Linked DNA regions of Drosophila melanogaster. Changing the gene in region 2 together with the main gene of any one other region gives a genetic interaction. Each region holds a gene or a part of one and is shown on either strand. Other genes may lie near its edges.

Region 1 (4,660 bases), on a different chromosome or scaffold from region 2:
GTGTCAGCCTGTTAATTGCCGCTGCCTGGGATGCTTGCGCAATGGGCGAGCGTTCATTTGCATAGCTCGGATTCTGGCGTGGAATGGGGAAGGGGGAAGGGGGAGGGGATCTGGGGGATATGGGTGCGATTATCTGAACCATCGCTGATCGTTGGTGGTCGCTCTGGGCGAGTGCTCACTGTGCTGTGGTTAGCCGGCGGTTGTTCGCAACAAGTGGAATTCTTGCCGAGTTTTCTGGGGTGCGAACTCATCACTCGCGGGAATCCTTGACTTAAGGTCTTTCAAATATTTGCTACAATCACTCACAATGGCTTAGTAAAATTCTTTAACGTTTGTTAAGAGCAAGAGTGACGAAGAACATTGCTTTTGCATATGAAGATATATTATTGGTAGATATATTATCGTCTCGAACAGTATATATATTCCCAAATTGACTAAAATATAATTGAGAGTTGCACTGGAACATACCTGTCATGGCTCCATTACTGCCGCTGCTGCTGCTGCTGTGCTCTCTGCTGTTTTCTCTGGCCGATGTTGCTGTTGCACTTGCTGTTGCTGCTGATGTTGCTGCGGCTGCAGATGTTGCTGATGTTGCTGTTGTTGTGGCAGCGGGCTTGTGAGTCGTGAGCGGTGGCATTGGTGGAGGAGTTCGCTCCTTTGTGCGTTTTAGGGAGCCCTCCTGGCTGGTATTGCTGGCCATGTTCTTGCACACGGAACTGATATTGCTGATGCTGCTAAAGCTGCTGAGACTGCTGAAGCTGCTGGAGCGTGCCAATGCCGGTGGATCCGATAGGAATTTCACCTGCTGCTGCTGCTGTTGCTGCTGCTGTTGTGGCCGCGACTGTGCTGGCCTGGTGGTCGCCAATCTCTTGGGCGCCGGAGGCTCTGGTTCAGTCTCATCCTCGGGCTCGCCCTCCGCCTTTAGCTCAGCCTCGAGCTCGTTTTCCAAGTCCGGCTGCACGGTGGCTATGATGGTGCCGTCCTCGTTGGCCTGCTCGAAGCAGACGTCCAGCAAGGTGGCTCCGCCACCGGCCTGTAGGCCGGCAATATCCTTGAGATCTATCCAACTGGCGCCCAGCTTATCAGCATCGCTGAGGGGCAAGCTCAGTACTCTCGTGTCGCCCTCGTCCACGATGTGGAAGGATTGCGTGGGCTCGATCTTGACGATGATGGGCTGGTTGGCCAGGATTTGGGCGGGTGGCGCACTGCCCAGCAAACTGGCCATGTTCTCCTCCTCCTCGTCGGCGGCCTCCAGTTCGCTGAGCTGCTGCTCGATCTGCAGGTAGGTATTACTGCTGGAGTTGGCTGCCACACCCGACTGCTGCTTCAGTACGTCCAGTTTGAGGACCGTGCACTTGTCGGTCTGCTGGTACTGGTGCTGCTGCTGGGGTCGTGGCAGCAGTGTCAGGGCGGGAGCACCCGATGTTCCAGAACCTTCCGTTATAAAGGCCAATGGTGGAGACGTGCCCGTGGATTTGGTGGACACACTCCGCGACGACTGGATCAGCTGGGGCAGTGCTGGCGGTGCTCCTCCACTGCCGCCAGTGCCAGAGGCACCGCTACCACTGCGTGCCACAATGGTGGTCGAGACGGGCAGCGGGATTATTGAGATGGAGGGCACCTTGCTGCGCAGATTGGCCACCGCCGCTGCTGTGGCGGCATCGGTGCCGATATACGTTGGACCACCGCTGGAGGATTTGCTGCCGCCGGCGGGCTTGGCCTGCTGTATCAGCAGGAGATCTCTGGGCCTATCCGTTGTGGCGGCCGTTTACTCACAAAGGCTCTCAAATGTCCGGATTTCGCCTTCGCTTAAAACACTAAACACTCACACTTTCACTTGGTTCATTGCTTGAATTTCTTGGGTTCTTTTATGCTTGTATTTGTTACTTGTTATATTTGGTTTTTTTTTTGGGTGTAGAAGCACAACATCGAAATAAATTGAAAATCAGCCTTACGAAAGTGCACTTAAAAAATTGTCGACTAAACAAGTTCATTCATACTGCATTGCCTCGATTGCTTGTCAATTGGTGTAGATACCCCAGAGGGGGTGGCCTAATGAGGGGCTGAGGGTTCGAAAAGGGGGGGGAGTGGGCTTTTAGGGGCGTAGTGGGGTCTGCAGATGCACCTGTGCGTTTCGTTTCGTTCGGTTCGTTTTTGGTTCGTTTTGCAGCTGGAAATACGCGTCGTATACTTAACGTAACTTTGTGCGATGCATAGAGTTCGACATTCCGATTAATGCTTTCCACTTGTGTTGGTTTTTGAGTAAATTTTGGGCTAGTCTTTTCGGTTTTGGGTTGTGTTTAACTTTACTTTACTGCCTAATATGCAGCAATTGTTGCTGTGCTTCGGTGACTGAGCCTGCTTCTGTATCTGTGTCCTCCGCGTTTGCCTGTGGTCGTTGTCATCCTCGTTTTCGTATCCTGCTGCTGCTGCTGTTGTTGCTGCTGTTGCTGTTGCTGCTGCTGCTGCTGCTGATGTTGCTGCTGCTGTTGCTGTTGCTGCTGCACATGCAACGCGTCGCCGCTGGATGGCTGCAAGGCTGCGCTGCAGCATTCGGTAGTGTCAGCGCCATTGGAACCCGACCACGTCAAAACAGTTGGAAGTGTGCCTCTGGATCTGGATGTGGATGTGCCAATGTTGCTGTTGATTTCCCACATCGCGGCACGCAACCCTATGCAACCACCACCCCAAGCACCACCTCCATCCTCACGGCAACAACAACCACCAGCTGTGTGGAAAGTGGCTTTAATAATCGATTTTTCAGCGGCACACTTGCGAATCAATATTTGGCAAACAGGAGCAGCGCTGCAGCTTTCCCTTTTCCTAATCGGATTTCTATCCCTTTAGCTTCGATATTAATTAAGCACTGTGTTCAATTTTGTTTCACTTTTGGCTGGTTTGTGGATTTCACTGTTTCAATATTTGTATTTTCACTTTCAGAGATTTGTGGCTAAATGCACCGCGCGCGTTTTTTTGTGACTCCTTTTTGTCGATTTTGCGAAGCAGCTGACCGGAGCTGCGTCCTTTACAGGAATGTGTCCCAAATTCGAGTGCCACAAACACAGTTCGTTCTGCCGCTGCACAAACTTTCCGTTTCGTGGGGGTTGCGCCTCAGTTTCTGGGAAAAGGAAAATCCGAGTGTGTGTGTGCGTGTGTATCCGCATGCAAGTTGAAAAATGGGACTCGCTGCGAACTGCTGCGAAAATAGGGTTAGTAGGCATAATGCCAAGTGCATAGCCAGGAAAAACTGGAAGCCACAACACGAAGGAAAACGAGCACAGTCGAACGAACGTTTGTTGCGCAGCTTTTCCACCCCTAAAACTCTCAGTGGGGGCGGGGGCGGGCTAAGGGCCAGGAAAATTCCCGTCGTGGTGATAAAGCGTCATGGGAAATTTCTGCACGCTCGAGGTGGAAATTCCAAGGGCGGAAAATTTTGAATGAGTCTTCTGGGCTTGACTTTCGACATTTACTCAACTAACAACTGAAACTGCCATTTATAATATTTGTAAAAATTCATAAAATTAGTTAATAAAAAATCAACTATGATATATATTTTTATATATACATGTTTAAAAAGAAACATATTTGGTAAACAAATATTTTCTTTTGTTATGCATTTAAATAGTGCATAAGATATGTAATTCATGGTTAACCCCTCGTTTATAAACCAAATTTGTAGAACACGGATAAACTATAGATGCAGTAGTAAGTCATTATATATACGAAGTCTTGTCTACTACAAGCTGTGTAAAGATAATATACATGTATTTATAATTATATAGTATGTATATAAAAAGCTTTAAAGTGTCATAAATAGTATGAACATTGGCACATATATATTTTTAAATGAGTCATAAAATGCGCATTTTTAGTGCTCTCAAAACTACAAGAATGCACTAAAATGTTAAGCTCGCTAATTAAAGCTGCCAATGCCAATTTGGGCAAAAACCAATCAAAGAACAGCTATGACCACAATGACCCTCGAGTCAAGAATGCCCAAAAAAAGGGGCGAACCGAGAACATCTCGGCCATTGGCCAACAGACGGGGCAAATTTGAACTAATCGCCCAACTGGGCCCCAGCCCAACCGATCGGATCGAGCCATCATTAGGGCGGGGAGGGGAGTGGGGGAATTGGGTGGCATAGGGCCAAACTTCTTATAGAGGAGGGTCGATGATGGCGAACGGAGCGACCACCGTTAGGACGGATTCGGATTCTGATTCGGAGCCAAGACTCAAGCATCGGCATTAATATTTCATGTTTTTCCGTTGCTTAAATCATGTTAGATTTATTCTGCGCCGCATTCAGCTGCCGCTTGCGCAACAACAATCAAGAGCTAACTGGTAACTGGTAACTGGTTGGTGGTTCTGCCAACCAGCTTACTAGCAGCTTGCAGCTAAACTTGGCTAAAACACCGTTGGTTCTAACGTGAACGCGAAATGTGTGCCTCACCGTTGTAAACTTCTTGCGGCGGCTGTTGCCTCATCATCTATTGCAAGTCTGTGCCGATTCTAACCTGTTTTCTCTGCAGAAACTCTCCGAAAAAGTCCCGTAAGAAAGTCCCAGTTATTCAAGAGGAAAAACCTGTTACACGCAACTGGCTCAGAGAGCTGATTGCCAAGAAAATGGAGACGGAGAAAAGCAAAGAACAGAACAGAATC
Region 2 (3,333 bases):
CAAGTACTGATCCTTGGACTAGGACAATTTCATCCTCTCAGGCGTGACTGCCTATTTCCGGGCTATTTACGCGCCATTAACAATTCCCGGCCGAATTGTAGCTCGTTAGGGAACCAATCATGAAAATATTCGCTGTTGTTTCCTGTCAGGTGCTTAACTCTATGTTGGTTACGAATTTTGAGTGAGTCATGTCCACGCTCCAAAAGTAATTGAATATAAATAATAAATTGGGTAACTTTTTTGTGAAATTATTATTTCTATCGCTAGTACCATTATTAAGCCTGAGGCCAAAACAGCTAAGCTAAAAAATAATAATAATAATATAAAAATACATAAATTAAAAACGAATATCATAACATATATATAGTCAAAGCAATGCTTCAAAATGCAGATTGTTTAAAAACCTTTTTGGCTCTGATGCTGGTATGAGAACGAGAACTCGTTGTAATTACCCTACATGACGATCTGAATATATTTACGAGTAAGTGATTTCAGTAAAAAACATTTGGAATTAAATTTATCAATATGTTTTTATTTTGGCTTAAAAGTAGTTAGTTTAGTGTCTTCCATGCTTATAACAAACTTATAACTATGAAAAAAATATGTCTTCCATTGCGTTAAAATATAATAAAAAAAAATATGGGGTAACTTAGAGGCTAATGTGAAATTTGAGACTTGGTTTTACACTCACTAAGGCAACAATTTAGGGTATTTACAGTTTGTACAATATTTGTTTGTTTGGGACTTTTAGTAAGACCCCTTCACTGCTCTTGCCAAGATGAAATATAATCGAGTAGCTCCTCGTCATCTGGCTGCTCGTCACTGAAGCTATCAAAGGAGTCGAATTTGAGGTCCTGCTCTTGTAGTTCCTGTTTGATATAGCCACCTCCGGAAATCTCGGATCCGGAGTACGACGGCGTGGGCGAGGCGGAGTGGTACGAGTGGGATTGGGCAGACTGGGTGGCTCCCGTCAAGAACTGTTGCGAACTGTCCAAACTATCGTTGTAATCGTTATAGCTGCTGCCATCGTTGCTACTTTCATCGGCGGAATTGTAGATGTGACGAGTTGATGAAGCAGTGCCATCATCAAGCATGTCCTGTAGTCCTCGAATATATTCAACGGCGATTCGCAGTGTGTCCACCTTGGATAACTTCTTGCTGCTACCACGTCCTCCATTGGACAGCGAGTTTACCACAGTTTGAGGCAAATGCTGGCGGAGATTGACGAATCCATTGTTCACCTGCTTCACGCGATTGCGTTCACGGGCATTTCGTCTGGCTACCGATGGCAATTGCTCGCCATAGGGCATGTTATTGTAGTTGAACTTCTTCTTCTGGGAGGACAACATGGGTCCAACATTGGACTGTTGACTCTGCTGCATATTCTGCAGTTGGCTGGTACCCAAAGGTATTTTCGGAGCAATCAACTGGTGCTGCTGCGTTTGATGGTGATGCTGATGTTGCAGCAAGAAAATGTTACTGTTGGTCAGCTGGTAATGCTGCTGCTGGAATTTGCTGCTGCAAATGCTCGTCATGGTAATCCTTGCGAGAGTTTTCTAAGATTTAGTTTACAGATGTTGACTGTGTGGAATCAGATTCCGCAATGATAATTGCTGTTCTGATCTAGGGCTTTAAATACCCGGCAGTGGCAGAGGGAAACGCGCCGCGACAGAGGCAGCGACTTCGGCAGAGGAGCTACAGGGGTTGGTACGGGGTCGGATCCTGGCTACCTGCCCTCGAAAAACCGGGACCTAAGTCCTTTGCACAAGTGATCGTACATTTTTCCTCTCTTTCTAGGGGTTCTTTTTCTGTGGTGGGTGCCTCTATTCCTACTCAGTCTCTGTGTGCCTACCTACCCATCCTTTTCCCTCTCCCACACACTCTTTGTCCTTTGTGTCCGTCTACATAATGCATTTTTTCCTTTTGGGAAAATTTTAAATCTCAGATCTGCAAGATCCTTGTCATGGCTAAAAAAAAAGATTTTGAATGCACTTCCACTTTTGTCGAATGTCGTTTGCATTGAAAGCGAAAAATAAAGGAGAGTGAGATCTTGGAAGGGAATTTGATATAAAATGTGATCCATCAAATGAAAGAAAATGATGCGAAGGCAAAAGAAACAAACTTAAAAGACCATGTCGTGGGACTTTCACTGTCTTTAAAACTGCGTATCCACTTTTATATCCTGTAATGTTATGAACCTTCATTAATATTTTTTCTGACCCATCTGCATTTGACACGTGCTTCCGATCAGTCCGGTGCATTAGCATAAGCTTCAAAACAATGATACATAACATCGCAGAGCGGCGCAGACAAAATCCCACAAGTGTGTGCTGTATCATGAATACCAAGCGTACTATAATAAGTAAGGGGACGGCCAGACAAATAAAAACGAAACCATCACAAAGGCATTGAATATTGACAGCAGTTGGGATCAAAGTTGCAGTCGAAACACTCTTACCCTTTCATCAAACGCTTGTGATACAAGAAAGCGATCTAAATTTGGGCTGTGCACTCGACAAAAAATGTAATATTTCTGACTGGTTAATATATGTCTTGTATGAACAAACAAAAACTGAATTCAATTAATTTGCATAACTCATTAAATCGTATTAAGGCTACGATGCAATTTAAAATATTTTTTTGGGAAAATATTTTGATAGTGTTGCATTATTGAATAAATATTTTCTTTTAAAGATAATTATTTCGTGGAATACTTCTAAAAATCGAATGGCAGTTTTGATTTTAAAGCATGAAGCATTTGTGTTGCTTTAATATCAAGACATCACTCATAATCAGGTTTAGTTCTAAATTATCAAATTAGTATGTCGAAAAGCATTAAAAAAGGTCTTTAAATGTTATTTGACTAGCAAATTAGTATTTCAAAAAGCTTTAAAAAATGTTATGTCTTTATTTATTTGCTGCTTGCTGTAGGGTTGTGACTTATTATGCCCAGTCCAAGAAAGTAAAGTTATTCCGTTTACCAACAATCCCCCTGCAATTAAATTAAGCATTCATAAATCTGTAAGGAGCTGAATCTGAAACAAATTTCTGGATTCGCAACTTGCAACTTTGTTGCAATGGGAAGGCAATACCGTTACCGAAGACGGATAAGTCGAGTTACGAGATTGCTCCCATAAATGCATAAAATCTTAAAAAAAGCCATAAGCAGCTGCCCTAAAGGAGATCAGAAAATTAGAGGAAATTGATCCCACAAGAATGAACGCTGAAAATCATAATAAAGCAAAAAAAAAAAAAAAAAAAAAACACCATTTACCTAATAATTGGTTTTTAAAAGTTGCTACCGAATTCGTTTTCTAATGCATTTATAATATC

What was found. Genes that interact genetically often act in the same process or in processes that back each other up.
Region 1: of l(1)sc (region 2) and Hr3, changing one enhances a phenotype caused by changing the other (phenotypic enhancement), as found in Drosophila melanogaster (one study listed by BioGRID).

Annotation. Positions count from the first base shown.
Region 1 is NT_033778.4:10,231,556-10,236,215, forward strand, and holds the start of Hr3 (hormone receptor 3), read right to left. Parts: upstream 3,053-4,660; 5' UTR 2,658-3,052; coding exon of another isoform or gene 2,319-2,657; 5' UTR 1,757-2,318; coding exon of another isoform or gene 1,226-1,756; coding exon 469-1,225; intron 1-468. Other genes in the region: CG12912 (uncharacterized protein), read right to left, coding at 2,319-2,657. UniProt on the Drosophila melanogaster protein: Putative receptor whose ligand is not yet known.
Region 2 is NC_004354.4:407,998-411,330, reverse strand, and holds l(1)sc (lethal of scute), read right to left. Parts: upstream 1,611-3,333; 5' UTR 1,536-1,610; coding exon 762-1,535; 3' UTR 514-761; downstream 1-513. UniProt on the Drosophila melanogaster protein: AS-C proteins are involved in the determination of the neuronal precursors in the peripheral nervous system and the central nervous system.